Linked DNA regions of Schizosaccharomyces pombe. Each later gene encodes a partner of the first gene's protein in a complex. Each region holds a gene or a part of one and is shown on either strand. Other genes may lie near its edges.

Region 1 (4,024 bases):
CACAACGATCCTGTCGTTATATCGGACATTGATGGAACAATTACCAAATCTGATGCTCTAGGGCATATGTTTACCTTGATCGGCAAGGATTGGACTCATGCTGGAGTTGCCAAATTGTATACCGATATCACTAACAACGGCTACAAAATTATGTATTTAACTAGTCGTTCGGTAGGCCAAGCCGATTCTACTCGACATTATCTCCGGAATATTGAACAGAACGGATACTCTCTACCCGATGGTCCTGTTATTTTATCACCTGATCGCACTATGGCTGCTCTTCATAGAGAAGTAATTTTAAGGAAGCCAGAAGTATTTAAAATGGCTTGTTTGCGTGATCTTTGTAATATTTTCGCCTTACCTGTTCCTCGAACACCATTTTACGCCGGCTTTGGCAATCGTATTACAGACGCAATATCTTATAACCATGTCAGAGTTCCACCAACTAGGATTTTTACCATTAATTCTGCTGGCGAAGTCCATATTGAACTGTTGCAGCGAAGCGGTCACCGAAGTAGTTATGTTTACATGAATGAGCTTGTCGATCATTTCTTCCCTCCCATCGAGGTTAGCACCCGAGATGAAGTCTCAAGCTTTACTGATGTGAATTTTTGGAGATCTCCTTTGCTTGAACTTAGCGATGAAGAAGAAGACGATACTAATAAAAGCACATCCAAGTCGCCCAAAACACCCAAAAATACGAAATTCGGATATCAAGAATTCGAGGGGATTGACGAGGAAGATGCTCAAGATTATTCTCCTAGTCCATTGATTAAGTCTTTCAATGAATTAATGTTTGAAGGTGAAGAAGATGAAGAAGGAGAAGAAGACGTTGAAAATGCTGTTTGAAGTTGCATTTTCCCAATTTCCGATGAAAAAAAAATTACTCGACTGTCCATCTTTTTTTTTAATGCCCCAAAATCTTAAAATCACTTTGACGAATTTCCGTCGGCTTTGAAATGCACTAATAAGCTTAGAAAGTTACATAAATCATATAATGACTTACTTACTCATTCACAAGTAATGAGTTTTGAGAAAGTGCTAAATATTTTTTTTATATTTAAATGCGCTCTTCCTAAAAATTAAAGATAACAAGATACTTCATAATGAAAAGTTACGAATAAATCACATTCTAAAATCCTAAGTCTGCAGATTCAAAACCTAATATTTAAATGTAATTTAACTATTAAAGTAGAATCATATTATTAGTAAAGATTACAAAAATGTATAGACTAGTATATTAGTCTTTTTATCATGCTGCACAATAAAAGACTTTTAGTAAACACATAATTGAGGTAATATAGCAGTAAATTTAAATGAATCTTTAAAAAAATTTAAGGAAGTCATAAACAAACAGGAATCAAAAGGTATTAACAGTATTACGTGAAACCCACTTTGCAGAAGAAGAATTTAGAAAGGAGAAGGTTTCGCTATTTTGCTAGCTTTTTGCTAAAAAGAGTGTTAATAAAGACAATTAAAAAAATAATAATAGTAAATTTTTCACAATCAAAATCAGTAGATAGAAATAAGAAAATCATGAAAGTACAACAGTTTACATACGCGCTCATTTTTAAATTTAGAAGTTTTCTTCAATGATTCCGAAAGTTTTAAACGCCTATTTTCCAAAATCTCATCCCTCTTTCGTTCACTAATTTTTCCTTTAGGATTCAGAAGACCTTTCAAAATATGGCGTGTAGAATCTTTCTGCCATGACATTTGTTGGGGGAGTAAATTATCCAGATTCTGAAGCCTGGCCTCTTTATATATTTCAGCTTGCCTTCTATTGGAATAGTAAGGGTTGATTACAAGGCCATTCTGAGGATTTCGAGTTGCGAGAAACGGATTTTGACGATTTGGATTTGTCGTCCATGCATTTGGATTTTCAGGCGGAAACTTTTTAAAAAAGTTTCCTAATTGGATAGGAAGCCGTTCCAAAGCTTCCTTGGTAAAGACTGGCATGATAAGGTTAAAACCTCTTTAATCTATAGAGAAGCTCAAAAAGACAGTGAGTCAAGCACTATTAGTATTAGAAAATACATTGACCTAAGATGTCGGCAAACGTTTAACTGCGCTATATTACGTTAAATCAATCATTACTGTTCATTCTTGAGTTCTTAATCGAAACTTTTCATCGTTTGAAATATTAAAAGAGTTTATTATCTCAGACAATTCTAAGCCAATTTATTGACTATTAGCGTTTATTAGGTCGGACTAATTCTTAGTTACTCAATTTAGTTCCAATGGATATACTAATTAATATAATATTACGGTGTAGCAGTACTATAGTTAATAAATACAAAATTATCCAGGGTATTATTTTATACAAATATAAAAATCACTAACATATTTCGTTATTATGTATATCGTTGTTAAATTAGCAACTATACAAACTCCTTAAAATATTTTACATACTGCGTAGATGGCTTCCTCTCGCATTAGTCCCTCTACCTTAGGCATCTTTGTTGGGTTGCGTTATTTAATTATTGAAGGCTGACAGTATGTGTGATTGTGTTCCGCCAACGTAGCATTCAAACGCTTTCAATCATTATCGTTTTTAGTTGTGATTGCTTCTATGATTCCATCAAATGAGGCCCGTTCAAGTAAGCTGTGTGTGGTTATAGAGTTTCTGATGCCAGTAAAATTATCATATCAGATCATGTACGGATTCCTACTGACACATGTTGAGAGTAAGCAAAAAAAGCTCAATCATGCTTATTTTGAGTATTTTAAAACATAAATAAAAGTAAAAATTATTGTAGGAAAAGTCCGGTCATCTCTCGATGACTCCAATTAGTGGAGAATATAAGAAATACTAAAGGAATTATTTATAATGACATGTAACGCAGTGTGACATAAAGTTAGTAGTGCATAGAACTGTTGGTGATATCAAGTTGACAAGGAATCGATAAGACGCTCTTTAATGTTGAATATTAATAAGCCCTGTAAGTATCCCTGTTCTTCTAGTTAGGTCTATAGCTGAAAAACCTTCAATTCTCTGGAGCTTGTGTGGTTTTATCCATTATCACTTCCTTCGATTTATCCCTCGTAAGGAATAGGATAGCAATGCGTATAGATCAAATCGCGGATTATGAATGAAGGCTTGTGCGATAAATTTCCTTTACTTGATCAATAATCTTGTTGTCAACGCGTTGTATTAAATGCGCTTTATTGGAAAAGAAGAAACATAGCTTGTTGATTGAAATTCCAAAGTTTCTTGTAAACGAATTTGGAAAGCACTTCTGTACTTGAAAATAATACAAATTGGCCACTATATATTCGCTTTTTTTGTTCCTTTGTTTCTTTTATCCATCAATTTTTAAAAGCAGAAAACCTTTCCCTTATGCCCAAGATTTAAAAGGGAACATAATATCAAAGTTCATCGAATGGATATGATGATCAACACTTTCACCACAACGTTCTTTGTACATTGAATTTCCAGAAAAATTCCACCAAATGTTGTGAATATTTTAGGATAACAAAAGGAGTCAAATTGGAAAGGCAAGAAATGAATGTGTGTTAAATAGTGGCCCTCAATATATTACTATTAGGAAATGTCTTCGGGAAATAGCATATCTTTGAGGCCAATCAAAAGGATGGATGGAGCAGAGTAGGCACTCTTAGACAACTCTTGTTTATCAGTTTGTAATTCTTCATTTGTGATTATGTCTCTTAAGATTTGGACACATTTGCTTGCGGCAGATGAAAGCTGAGCATCGAAGGAGTGTAGACAAGGGAAGTATATCTCAGCGTACGAAAAAAAACATTCACTATATAACAACCGGATAGATGGGTTATCGTTTTTGCAATATGTGAAGCATATTTTCATCCGTTTAACAATTTGATCTAGTAATTTTTCCAATTGCTCTACGGAAGCGAATGAGAGCTTGTTAAATATCAGTTGCTCCAAAAATACGTAAAATTCCAAAAATTTCGCTCTGGAAATCACTCCAGTTCCATTGTTGGCATTGTTTTGCATAATCGACTGCGTGATTATAATGAGATCCAGTACATAATCTCCCAATTC
Region 2 (3,925 bases), on another chromosome or scaffold:
TTACTTTATCTCCAGGGCATTCTTGCTCGTCTTTTTGCTGTACTTCCTCATTAATTTTTATGTCTCCTAATTTTTCGGTTACAGTCTCAGATTCATCTTCATTAGAAGAATCAGATTCATATTCACGTTGGACATAGTCCGTAAGGCGATTCAACATAGCGACCACAAGTTGGGTTACGTTTACGCTTGGAGAAAGCTTTATGACCGTACCGAAATATGTATCGAGGGTTTGAAGATGCATATTATCAGAAAACGCCTGACAAATTACTTCAACAAGATACTCTTGTGCAAGTGAGTCCCGACATTCAATAATTTGCTCGATTATGGCAGGAAGGACATGATCTCGGTAAGTGTCTATATCGAGGTTTAACTGAGATAATCGAACCAAATTCAGCCCAACAAGAACCTTTAGCTCATTCCTTTCTTGGGTACGTTTGGAAAATTCTTTAATTGGACCAAGATGTTGGATTCTAACCCACAATTTATTCATTTCCGTAAAGTTGATAACTAAAAATTTAACAGAATCGAGTACGGTTCCTTTGCGAGATGCATCTTCCTCATCTTCTGATCCCAAAGGTAATCCTTTTCTTGTTTGGGTAAGCAGATAATGGCGCAAAAAAAGACCTCTTAACGGATGCTGAACACCTCTACACATATCTAACAAATCATTCATAATTTCACGTACAAGGGCATTAGGCGTTTCCAAATAAGCGCTTCCAACGGTTATCATGAGATATAAACGAGGGACAATACTACCGGCATATTGAACAAGTTCATAAAGGTCCATTAGGTTGTGAGTACCGTTCAGATGCGTTTCCAGCAATGTGCCCCCAAGTAAACGCAAGCTTTCCATATTAAACATATACAGCTCATAGTATTGTTTTGGAGTAAGTGCAGAATTTCTCATTTCCACGAGACTAATACTGCAATTACGAAATGCATCCATCAATCGTCCTGTCTGCAAGTTTCTTTGCATCAGCCTACTAGACTGCTTGCAAATATTTAAGGACTCTTCCAAGCTCCTTGTAATTTCTTCGTTAGCAGTATTAATTCCGTTCATAGAGCCCTAAATATCCACTTCCAAGTGTTTCAATTTAACCAACGTAATTGTAATTTCAGTATAGTTTTACTAGCGGCCCAACTTTCGAACAGAAAAACAGGATGTTTGTTATTCTTTTTAATTCACTAATATTAGCAATGTTTTTTATAATGGGTTCGTTGAAATGTCTACAAATAAAGTTGGTGGTACTGGTTGAGATATATTGGTAGATCTTGAAGTATTGCGCGCAGCACAGCTTGGAATCGCGCTTCGCTCAATTTCAAATTGACCATTTTCATATCACAAATATCGCGCCTAAATAGTATATTATTTTGATAACAATTAAAAGAAACTATAAATCTAATCATCGGAAAGGTTCACACTACAAGATTCGTCTTAGACCTCTAAACTAACGGTTTTTGAATTCTACATTCAATTGAGAATTTATTTAAGCTGCTTTTCTTTTTATTTTGTAAAAACTTTCTTGACGGATTTCTTGGTGCACCCATTTAATTGAAATGAGTATTATGAAACCGACAACTCGATTTTTTCGCTTCAATTCCCTTGAACTAGCAGTCTCACCTTTTCAAAGAATTTATGGGCAACTGGTATGTCAAGCTTATAAAAAAAATCACCGTTACTTACACAGTTATTTAGAGGTTTCTTCGTAAACAGCCAAAACCGTTTTTGGTAAAACTGTTAAACAACGAAGTTTCAAAGCTAGGAAGGCAAGGTATGCTAAATTTTTCATAATTATAATGTTCTTCATTTCAAACCTATAATAGGGAGGTAGTGGTTACATCCTTTTATTATAAGAAATGCATTCTTTTAGCCGTCGTAGGAAACTACTAACTTTACAAAAGGTGATGTCGTCTCAGTGACAAGGGGATATTATCGAAATACACTTTTCCCCAAGAAGCAAGCGATTGCTGTTGATGCCTTAAAATCTATGAAAGCACATTTGTTACAAGGGTCCGAATTCTCGACGAAAACGAAGGAATAATAATACCTAAACTCTCACTTAGTTCAATCAACATAAAAAGAATTTATTGAGTTTATTAGTGGATTAATTAAGGCTTAGCTAGCTGCAATTTGAACAATTCTAGCTTTTCATTACGAGATATTGTTACATTACTAACAAGAATTACGAAGTATTCAGCATTGACTTTTTTCTATAAAAAAATATAAAAAATTTAATTAAAAGGCTTCACTAGAAGCGTAGTCTCTTTCTGAGTTTGAATATTATCGTTATTGTAATATTTTATCAGGGTTGATGCTTAGTGTTTCTCAATTACAATAACAAGCTTTGGATTTTCCTATAATAGTATAGTTAATATGAAATTTAAATCCTTGAATGGTAAACGTTTACTGCGTATTGTGCGGCCATCGTTTCTGCTCTATCAGCTCGTCTAGCATCTTCTTCTCACAGCTACCAACTATTTTGAGTTGGATCCAAAATCATCTCATAACTCGTGTTTATTATTGCTAAAGCAGCAGAGAAAATATTTTTCATTACCTTATTCAGCTTCAATGAAAATTAATTTGTTTTTTGTGTTTCTATTTGAACTTCTGCATTTCGTGGCAGCTTATAGTTGTGAAGGAGATGAATCAGCTGCCATTGAAGCTATGAATGTCTTACAGGTACCGTATGAAAAATACAACACAGACCCAGTTTGCGCTTTTGACAATTCCACCGTTGTCGAACTTTCAGATAAAACCTGGGATCATGTCATTGAATCTGGCAAATGGTTTGTGCAGTTGACTGCTGAAGGCTGTGCTAACTGTACTCTTGGAGAGCTACTTTTTAACGTAAGTAATGGACTGCATTTAATGTTGTCCAAATGCTCTTGTTATGAGATTGAATTTTGAGCCTCGGAAATAAATTAAACCATCTTTGGATTTAATTGAATCTGTACTAACTAATTTTAGGACCTTTCGCATGCTTTTCATGAAAAATATCCGGATGTCCACTTTGCCCGTGTTTACTTGAGCAGTAGCCTCGAACTTTCTGTACGCTTACTCATTTCTCGGATTCCTTCTTATTATTTCATCGATAATCAAAATTTCTACCGTGTTTCTCCTCAGGTTCTTCCCAAGAACAAGGCAATCGCCTTATATGAAAAAGACGGGTTCAAAAGTATGAAAAAAGAGCAAGGTTTTTTCTCTGTTAACGGGCCCTTGAAGTCCTTTTACTGGGTCTTTGGAAAGGCACTTGCACTTTACGGACACTTAAGTCAAAAATACACCCCTCTTGGAATGAATGTAGCTATTTTTGGGATCTCTGCCTACATAATGTATCGCTCTAGCAAAAAAGCGAAACAAAAACAAGCCGCTGCTGCTGCCGCCGCCGCTGCAAAAAAGAAATAAGCTATGTGGAAAATACTATTAGTTTTTGATAATATCAATTTTTTGAATAATTATACGAGAGTTTGTTACATGTTCTATATGTAAGGCACCGCTCTAGTAAAGGTTTATACCCTATTTGTTTCATTCCTTCCTTTTTTAACAGAACGTAGATTTTCCAACCTTATTGCTTGTTTGGAGATTCATTAGAGGAATCATCTTTTAGCTTAGAATAAACGGCAAAGTACTGCCCGTCTCTTTTCTTAGCATTCTGAAATACATTCCACGGCTCTTGATCGGGTAATGATGGTAGAGATTCCGCATTAATAGCATGATTCAAAGTACGAAATGGTTCCTTAATGAAGGATGTATCAAGTCTCTCAATTGCATGCATTTGAATGATTCCTTCGTTGAGTTTTAGAATTGTTCTTTCATTCTCTTCCTTAGAGTCTGCTTCACGAAGACCAACGAGCCTCAGCAAATGACCATACTCAGTTAAGCCAATTGGTTTGGGTGGATTTCCTTGGAGAATTCGTTTAAGTG
Region 3 (4,911 bases), on another chromosome or scaffold:
GTTCCTCGTGATACTTTACAGTGGCTTTACTTTTCAAATCATTATCCTTTTAATGAGGAAGGTAAAGGTCCCCAAGTTGATGATTCTGACGCACTGATAACAATTGCGTTAGATTCTTTGTATGTGTTACTGAATATGCGAGCGAAAAGTACACCAAATAGCACATCTTTTTCTTCGCCTCCAACACCCCACAGATCTCCATTTAGCGGACAGGCTTTTACTGGAATGGGATTATCGAATTATTCACTAATGTCCTCATCTTCTTTTCCATCTGCTCAATCTTCTCCTACATCTCCTTTTTTATCTGGAACACCATCCATAGCTAATCAGTCATCTAGTATTGCAAGTCTGCAATTTGGGAGGATGGTGGATAGCCTCGTTGGACCTGTTCAACCTATACCTGCTCAAACTACCGGGTGCTCTGTTCATTCATTACAACAACGCACGTTTTCAAATGAGAGTCCTAGAGCTGTCGATTCTGGTTTTAGTAGGACTAGCACACCATTTAGTGAAAGTACTAGTTCTTATCCTTTAGTGTCTGGGAATCTCAGTTCTTGTGAGACACACTTGAACGGATCTCCGCAAAACGGACATTTACAAGGTGAACGTGTTTTATTCCGCCCATTGAGAAGCCCTGCTTTAAACACATTTTCTACGCCTGCTACGGAACCTCCGGAACATTTGGTTTTGTCTGAGCTATTAAAGAAAATGGTTAACATCAGCAATAATTAAACTGTATTGTTGATTGTAATGTTTCATTAAAAATTCTGAAGTTTGTTAGAAGCAGTCAATTAACTTTGCTGCCAACAACGAACAAATTTCTTGCTTTATTTCTCACGAAGTGAAATAACCCAAAATAATGTATCACGGATTTCTTTGTTTATACACTGTGCTTACGAATTAGAAATGGTTCTTCACTTGCCTAAAGAAAGGCTTTGACTTTTATATAAGTATGAATAGTCATCAAATGGCCTAAAGTGTACGGGTATTCACGACACTTAAATTAAAATATGGTCGATGGGAAAATAAAACGTTGTTTAGTTATCATAGCGCTGTTCTGGTTTGACCTAAACACAAGCAATTAAGGCGCTTCCCAATGTTACAATATATATCATAGAATGGGTTAATTGTTTACATAGGACTGCGTTGAATTCTTTAAATAGAATCTTTAGCCTCGAATTATGAAGTTATCTGACTTGTTGGATATCCTCAGCTTGCCAATTGATTGATAATAAGCATATGAGCTTGGACAGTGAATATTCAATATTTGGTTACTCAGTGCAATTTGTTTTGTGATTCTAAGCAGAAATGCTCTTTATAAACATTTACTGCACTATCTTGAGTTTCTAGAGCTTGTTCTGTATCCAAATTGTAATGACTGGCGATTCTCAAGTGCCAGATCTTATACCTCTTTTTATGTCTTTACCAGACGTTATCGTAATGCCTGGACACAAAACTAAAGTGTAAATTTGTCTTTCCTATGAAATGCTTGGTTTTTCATTAAAGTGTTACGAATTCGAAACATATATCTATGATTTTTGAGTATACACTGGCGGTATCTGTTGTTTAAGATAATTTAGTTTTGAGTTATTCGAGGCAATCAATTTCTTATCAAGTGTGATTCTCTTTTTAGAAAACCAAACTAAAAGTAAATCTATTGATCTTTTCAAGTATTAAGACAACTTGTTTTCTTTTGGATAAAATGCTTTTATTGTTGCATAATAGATTGATAAAGGTACGAAATGTATAAATGCATTATTTTATGTTGAGTACTTTACTCTTTCAGGATTGTGTTTGAGCTAAGCTTCTTGCATCTCTCATTCATCATCACACATCTATATTGAAAGGAAAGAAGGTAAAAAACGAACAAGAACAAAGTGAATACAAAAGAACGAATTGGATTAGTATTGTTATTGCATGAAAGTGATCTTATGACATGCATCACTATCCTATCCAAATAGTTTGTAGAGCCAGTTAGTAATAATACTTTCCAATAATTTGAATATGTGTGGCATGCCATTTGGCACGATTTTGAGAAATACAAAAATAAAATCATCTTGTAAAAGAAGAGCAATTAGCTGCTTTTTTATGTACCAGCTGAAGGAAAAACATTTGTTTTTCGACGTATAAAAAAAAACAGAAAGACATCAGCTTAAAGCTTTAAAGCTAACTTGTTTAAATAAGTTTGTAAGTTACAAGTACAATACTTTCTATTACACTTGGCACTCAAAATCGTGTGGCATATGATTATAACGATGCCTCGGATTTCCTTACTTGGCACTAGGTAATACGGTACACTAACCATGACAATACACTAGACAAACGCGAGCAATCTTCCAGCCCTAGTACCTAAGATCCATTGCAAAATTGTTTTGGTTGCGAGACTTACCTGTTTTATCCATAACCATTTGTTAAAACCTTCCTTTGAAGATTTGAGAAACAGGTATCATTTGTGGACATTGGTCTTTACAATTTCCTTGTTTCGTGATTATAAATATTTTTTCCCGGATTTGTGTTATTTACTATAATTTATTGGTAAATTATAACACAAGTGCTCATCTGCTTATAAAGCAAAAGGATTTTCACGAAAATTCCCTAGAAAGTAACCTGTTGTATTTTTGTCGCTTTTGGTTTCTCTTTGTCATTATACTTGTTTTAATTCATTTTTTAATTTTTAACAATGCTTGGGATAAGAAAAAATATCAGAATATCAGTTAACTTTCTGCAGCGAAGAACCATCACTGTAAAGCAAAAACTGGGCAAGAATAGGCCCCTACCAGGATGGGATCCAAATTCTGAGTATTTTCGTCCAGGACCCACCATGTTAAATCGCTTACAAGAACACTTGCATGATACCATTTTACCGGATGTATTAGCTGCTTCATATCGACATGACATAGATACAGCGTTAAGCACAGATGAACATACACAGAAAGACAGACTTCCAAGGTGGATTGGTGATAACCCTTATTATAAAAACCGGCCTCCTCAGAAAATGCGTGGTAATAAGCCTCTGTTACCAGTAAAGGAGTCCGTTAATCCTAAAAACCTTCCTTCTATTAGCAAAGTTGTCGTCAGCACTATGCATAAAGAAGCACTCGTTGACAAAACGCAGCTCTTGAGTACAATGATGGCATTTCGTTCTATAACGGGTTTGCAGCCCGAAATAGTCTATGCACGTAAGGACGTTTCTCCCTGGAAACTTCGTTCAGGTGTGCCAGTAGGTGTAAAGGTTACTCTAACTGGAGAATCTATGTATACATTTCTTTCAATCTTATCTGAGTTGGTTCTTCCTCAGCTTCATGATTTCAAGGGCCTGAGTCCTACAAGCGGAGATCAAACAGGAAACATATCTTTTGGTTTACCAAGTGAAGTCATGCCTTTATTTCCCCAAATTGAAGCTGTTTATGAGATGTATCCGCACTCTTTACCTGGATTTAACGTAAATATAACAACCAATTCCAAAGATACCCGTTTGGCTCGTTTTTTCGTCAGCAGTCTTATTCCATTTACAGATGGAAATAAGGAAGGCTATGTTGGATAGTAGACAATTTATTTTATATCTACTATACCTAATCTTTTCTCCTCAAGGAGTGAACAAAAAATCCCCTTCTCTACGACTAATGCATACATACGTTTTTGAGTTTTACTTGTTTAAGTGATAGAATTCCCGTAGATATGTGTTATTATATATTTATGTTATCGTTTTCACAAAGTAAATAAAAATAAAAAGTTTTTTCTTGAAAAGGAATAATCAATGGATATTTTTTAAACAAACTGAACATGTAAAATAGTATTTTTTTAGTAACTAAACTCATAATGGTATTTATCAAGGACATTCACAAAATCATTAAAAACATGAATATTGTAGAAAAATATAGCAACTTAAATCATACGGTTTATAGGTTAAATAAATTCATTAGTTCTAAATGGCATAAATGCAATGATAATGATGCAAAAAAACATAAAAAAGATAGATCGTAAAATAATGTTTCTGTTTTCATCATAACTTAGCCGGCTTATGAAACGAACGGGTGGCTCAACAACTCTGATGCTGTAGGTCTAAGATTACAATCTATGGCAAACGTTTTCTCAAGGAAATCTATGGCCGATGAAGAAATGTTAGAAGGGAATTCCGGCAGAATGTTCTCCCCAATTCTGAAAATGGCCTGCATTTGATCACAATTCGGATAAGGGTGCTTACTAGTGAGCATCTCGATTACCAAACATCCCAAAGACCAAATATCTGTTTTCTCCGTATGCATAGTTTGCTTCACCACTTCGGGAGCCATCCAAAAAGAAGAGCCTTGAAAAGAAGGGCGAGCACCACCCGTCTTCGTAGAGGTACTATTTAGTTCAAGTTTCTTCGATATCCCAAAGTCCGAAATTTTAATCTTCCCTTTATTATCAACCAAGATGTTCGCACCTTTTATATCACGGTGTACAATGCCGCGTGAATGAAGGTATTCTAAGCCTTTAAGGGTTTGCTTAATAAAGTTCTTGACTAGCGTTTCCTCAAAGCTTCCATACATTGTAAGCAATCCGGCAACCGACCCCCCAGGAACATATTCCAAAAAAATGTTCAAGTGGTCCGAATTTAAGTTAGAACCGAGATATTGGACAATATGCTCATGAGACAACTCCTGTAGAAGAGCAATTTCACCCGCTAATGCATCTAAAAGTTTGGCATGGCGGTCTTTTGATTCAGAAACAGAATCTAAGATCACTTGCTTAACAGCCATCAACTCACCACTAGATGCATTCATACCGAGATAAACTTGTCCAAACGATCCTGAACCTATTAACGCACCACGTATCCATTTGATAGACTGATCATCAGTGTCCTCTTCAAGTGTATTTGTGTCCTCACTTGTAGTGGAAGTTGGAGAAATTGGGGATGGTTGCTCAATA
Region 4 (4,160 bases), on another chromosome or scaffold:
TAGCCATAGCACGAAGTCCACGAGTAGATTTGTAAAGAGCACCTGTCAATGCACCAGCTGCAACACTATTTTCCCATCCATGCTTTTGGCGCTTGTAGCCTATTAAAGAATTGATTCCATTATACACGAGGGCAAGCACACCCAAGGAATTACCAACGAAAGGACCACGTCGTGTAACACCGTTCAAAATACCATTAAGGCGCAACCGTGTGGAAGTAATATCTTTAGTTTTCTTCATGCCTTCATTGAGACCCCAGAGTCCACCAATCGCCAATCCACTTAAATAAGAAGTTCCAGTACCGTAACAAAGATCATCTTGCCATCCGCGAGATGGGATAGCCATGCTATCGCCTGGAAGAGTAGAAAGAGCATCTTCCTCAATCAATAAGTAATCCAGAGGTTTATCTAAATCAGCGAGGGGATGTAACTTGGCGGGATCGAATTCAGAACCCGATAAAATATCTGAGGCTGTAGCCTCGGTAGGGACCTGCAATTCAGAAGAATCAATCTTTGAGGTTGGTTCCTCTTCTTTATTTCTTGTAAACAACCAAGACATATCTTAAAAAGTTGATTTTTCGCAAAGGCGCGATGGTGGTTGTCTGCAGGTAGCGGTGGTTACAGGAACTGTGTATTAGCACCTAAATTAAAATAGTAGAAAAAAATTGTTGAGACGTAAAAAGTGTCGCAATTATCATGAATTTACATTTATATATAAAAAAAAAGACTTAATGAATAAATCCTCGATCGTTAAATAACGCCCGAACTTATTTACTCGATCACCGCTTAAAATTCTAGACAAGTTGGGCATAGGTCCATCGATAAAACAATAGAATAGAAGAAACTATAAAACTTTTTTTTATGAGAGAACAAACAACGAAAATACAAAAAATATAACACTAAGTATTATCAATTATACAGTTACGCAAAGCAAGCATAAGACCGTTGTGAATTAAATTTACGTCCAGACAAATCAAAGGTCTCTATTAATATTAATATGCCATTCACATTAAGAGCCAAACCAAAGCGTGTTAAAGGAATACATTGAATCCGTAAATATCCTAAGTACGAACAGGTAAAGAAAGCTAAAGTAGATATCTAACAACAACAAAAAACGAAACTTGCTAGCTCAAAATCACAAAACCATATTCAGCACATTTAAACGACCCAAAACGAAAGAAGGCCTTTAAATTTCTTTGAGCGCAAAAGTAAGACTGGGAATTTAAGCAGTCTATTTGAGGACATACTTGCGAAAAGCAAAGTAAGCAACAACCATCACAAGGACAAAGAGCCACATAGCAGGCTTAACTGGTTGAGAAGAATCATATCCACTTCCACCAGCGGCAGCACCAGTTGTGGGAAGCTGAGGGCCATCTTCAGTCTAAAATATGTTAGAGTGTCGAAGCAAATTTTTACAAAAATTTTAACGAGCCTATGGCGAACGAAGAGAAAAAATAAATGACATACTCTGAGCAAGTTTCCAATGTAAAATTTTTCGAGCAACTCCTGAGCATCCTCAGAGTGACCAACATCCTCGAAAGGACCGCTAGCATCACGACCTAAAACAAGTTAATAATCACAGAAACGAACAAAAAAAAGCCCCTAGCGATGGTAGAGAAAGGCAGAAACTTTGTATAGCCAATCCAAAAGCCGTATGTGAAGAATCGAAGCGATATCGTCAATCAATCTTTCCAAAATTATGTATTTCAGTGTATTCAGAGTACTGGAAATACAAAACATCGAGTAGAGAGCGATCAATCTTGGAACATATAGACTGTACTTAACAATTCACCTTCAATGACAATGTCGCATTAAACATCGTATTTATTCAGGATATCGCATCTATTTTTGTACGTTCCTACGGCAAAGATTCGTCCTGAATCTTTCAAATTAAAGAACATGTGTATATGCGACACCTAAACTCTCGTGAAATTCAAAGTTTTGTAACGCTAGTTGTCTGAAACTTCGATTTCTACGACTCCACACAATCGCGACCAATTTTTATGCATTACAACCAATCTTCCTCAAGACCTCCATTATCGCGTACCCCTAAAAATTTACTTACCGGCCAAATCAACAAGAACCTCTTCACCACCAGGGTGAGCGTCAAGGAACTTGGAAATATCATACACCTTGTCTTTTACAACAATGTACAAATCATCACGAGTGTTATGTTTTAACACTTCTTCAACAGTAATTGTCTTCTCTGCCATGATCAAGTTCTGCTTATTCTTCCTTAAAGGTGGTATTTAACGGTTATAACCCAGGAGCTAATTACTCTCGAGATGTTGGTTGCAAATGCCCTATCGCGATTTATCTAGCAGGTGGGAAGTAGAAATGAGCCGATTCTTACTGGCAGGTGGTCACGTGGATTCGAGTTGGAAGGTACACCCAAGGATATGAACTTACCCAAAACCTATATCATTCTTCAGTTAACCAACTCCACCATTTTGGAGGTGTAGTGTTTATATTTGAATGGCAATATAATATTTAAATCAATTTAGGACGCTAATCAAGTTAATTTTTGTTCACATCTTTGCTGTTTCGTTGGAGCCGTAAACTACTTTGTGACAAACCATCAACTACTCAGAATTTGTCTATCACCCAAAAACTTAACAAAAAATTTTTATTTGCTCTTTTTGATCCAACCTTCTTCCTCTCCTTTTGATTTTATACGAAAAATATGCTGGGTGCATTTAACTCGACTTTGGCTCGCTTTGGCGGTCTTGTTCATAAAGTACCTTGGAGATTATCCCAGCGAAGAAAATATCGTCACCGTCAACGACTTCGTGCCGTCGATGAGGTGGTAGATGTTTTGCGCACGGCGTTGCAAGAGAAAAATCAATCGTGCAAACGAATTGAAAGTTTCGTTGCTAACCATCAGCCTGAATCCCAAATGTCACCAAAGGATAAATACACTATGTTTACCAGGAAGACTCAAGGTGCCGGTCTCCAAGGCTTCCGCAAGGGTGTCCATAAATCACCAAAATGGACCCGTAGTACTAATCGTGTTAATCCCACTGGCTTTTAAAAACGTCTGGTTGCAAAAGTTTACTACTTTTTTTTTCATAATTTTAATGCTCTATGAATAATAAATGTAATGGATTATTTTAATAGCTTATTTTATTACTTTTTTATTGCAAAAACTCCCACCTCTTCCTCGTCTTCGTTCATATTCAATTTCCAGTTTCATACATATTCAAACAAACGACATTAGCCTTTAGTTAGAGTAAAGTTCATATCACCTCTATTATACGTCTCTTTAATTCTTTGCTCTGTAAAACAATACATAAGCAGACGATGTGACAATATCCTCCGGATCTATTTCACAAATAGCTGTATCATCAAACTTAAAGAATGTTTGGCTCGATGCATCTCTTGCATAGGCAGTATAATGACCATTACTCATAAACCCGTGATGATTGTCCACTGCATACAAATCGTAAAGCATCGATTTCTGTGACGATAGCCACTCATGATCTTTTATAAATGGACTCAAAAATTGCTTCAAATTGAGATCAAATACTGGATAAACTACTAAATCCCTTCGTTTACGTCTTCTCCGCAAATCTCCACCGTGGCCGCTGAATCGATTTAAATGAATGACTAGTATTTTTGGCAATCGCCAGATCTCCAGCCGTTTTGTTGCCGGTCGAAATGCCTTACACCCAGGACAATACCAGGAATCCTGTAAATCAAGCTGCTCTGGCTTGGAAAACTCCAGTAAACAATCTTCAAGGGTGATGGACTCCATATGGAACTGAATTTTTTCAAATATCCATTCGCAGTTATAAAATAACTTTTCATATTGTTGATCGTTCCATAGACACATAATTACAGTTTTGTCGTCAATAACGATTTCCTCTTCCTCCACTATTTCAAACCTTTTAACCTCAATTTCCTTTATGCATTCCCATTTCCCGGCCTTACTTTCCATCCGCTTCAGTCCAAGCTGAAGAGTTCCGATTGCTACGTCTATGCCTGCATAAACTCGATACAGTTCGACAATCTCTTTCACTAAATCATTTGTGAGTACATTTCGAGAACGGACGTTGAGTTGTAAAGGAAATCCAAACACATCGTTAGACTGGTATGATCCGGGCATTGCCGGTCGTTTACATCCATGGACGATAGGTATTGTTAATCCGTTTGCAGTACTTCCA

The links.
Region 2: mrpl25 (region 1) and SPOM_SPCC777.17C share a complex: the UniProt entries of both Schizosaccharomyces pombe proteins name them as parts of the mitochondrial large ribosomal subunit.
Region 3: mrpl25 (region 1) and mrpl7 share a complex: the UniProt entries of both Schizosaccharomyces pombe proteins name them as parts of the mitochondrial large ribosomal subunit.
Region 4: mrpl25 (region 1) and mrpl31 share a complex: the UniProt entries of both Schizosaccharomyces pombe proteins name them as parts of the mitochondrial large ribosomal subunit.

Annotation. Positions count from the first base shown.
Region 1 is NC_003424.3:4,992,486-4,996,509, forward strand, and holds mrpl25 (mitochondrial 54S ribosomal protein mL59), read right to left. Parts: upstream 2,023-4,024; 5' UTR 1,960-2,022; coding exon 1,561-1,959; intron 1,450-1,560; coding exon 1,411-1,449; 3' UTR 1,139-1,410; downstream 1-1,138. Other genes in the region: lipin, phosphatidate phosphatase Ned1, read left to right, coding at 1-849; meiotic recombination protein Rec24, read right to left, coding at 3,545-4,024. UniProt on the Schizosaccharomyces pombe protein: Component of the mitochondrial ribosome (mitoribosome), a dedicated translation machinery responsible for the synthesis of mitochondrial genome-encoded proteins, including at least some of the essential transmembrane subunits of the mitochondrial respiratory chain.
Region 2 is NC_003421.2:1,616,691-1,620,615, reverse strand, and holds SPOM_SPCC777.17C (mitochondrial ribosomal protein subunit L9), read left to right. Parts: upstream 1-1,557; coding exon 1,558-1,647; exon of another isoform or gene 1,648-1,696; coding exon 1,697-1,772; exon of another isoform or gene 1,773-1,902; coding exon 1,903-2,042; 3' UTR 2,043-2,470; downstream 2,471-3,925. Other genes in the region: retromer complex subunit Vps35, read right to left, coding at 1-1,060; SPOM_SPCC777.12C (ER stress response thioredoxin family membrane disulfide oxidoreductase), read left to right, coding at 2,570-2,848, 2,969-3,406; protein Gta3, read right to left, coding at 3,567-3,925. UniProt on the Schizosaccharomyces pombe protein: Component of the mitochondrial ribosome (mitoribosome), a dedicated translation machinery responsible for the synthesis of mitochondrial genome-encoded proteins, including at least some of the essential transmembrane subunits of the mitochondrial respiratory chain.
Region 3 is NC_003423.3:1,736,298-1,741,208, forward strand, and holds mrpl7 (mitochondrial 54S ribosomal protein uL5m), read left to right. Parts: upstream 1-2,344; 5' UTR 2,345-2,680; coding exon 2,681-3,544; 3' UTR 3,545-3,800; downstream 3,801-4,911. Other genes in the region: ebs1 (EST1 family protein), read left to right, coding at 1-732; MAP kinase kinase kinase Byr2, read right to left, coding at 4,020-4,911. UniProt on the Schizosaccharomyces pombe protein: Component of the mitochondrial ribosome (mitoribosome), a dedicated translation machinery responsible for the synthesis of mitochondrial genome-encoded proteins, including at least some of the essential transmembrane subunits of the mitochondrial respiratory chain.
Region 4 is NC_003421.2:886,178-890,337, forward strand, and holds mrpl31 (mitochondrial 54S ribosomal protein mL60), read left to right. Parts: upstream 1-2,408; 5' UTR 2,409-2,680; coding exon 2,681-3,028; 3' UTR 3,029-3,118; downstream 3,119-4,160. Other genes in the region: TIM23 translocase complex subunit Tim23, read right to left, coding at 1-556; oca8 (cytochrome b5), read right to left, coding at 1,229-1,378, 1,465-1,556, 2,063-2,210; ubiquitin hydrolase Ubp1, read right to left, coding at 3,260-4,160. UniProt on the Schizosaccharomyces pombe protein: Component of the mitochondrial ribosome (mitoribosome), a dedicated translation machinery responsible for the synthesis of mitochondrial genome-encoded proteins, including at least some of the essential transmembrane subunits of the mitochondrial respiratory chain.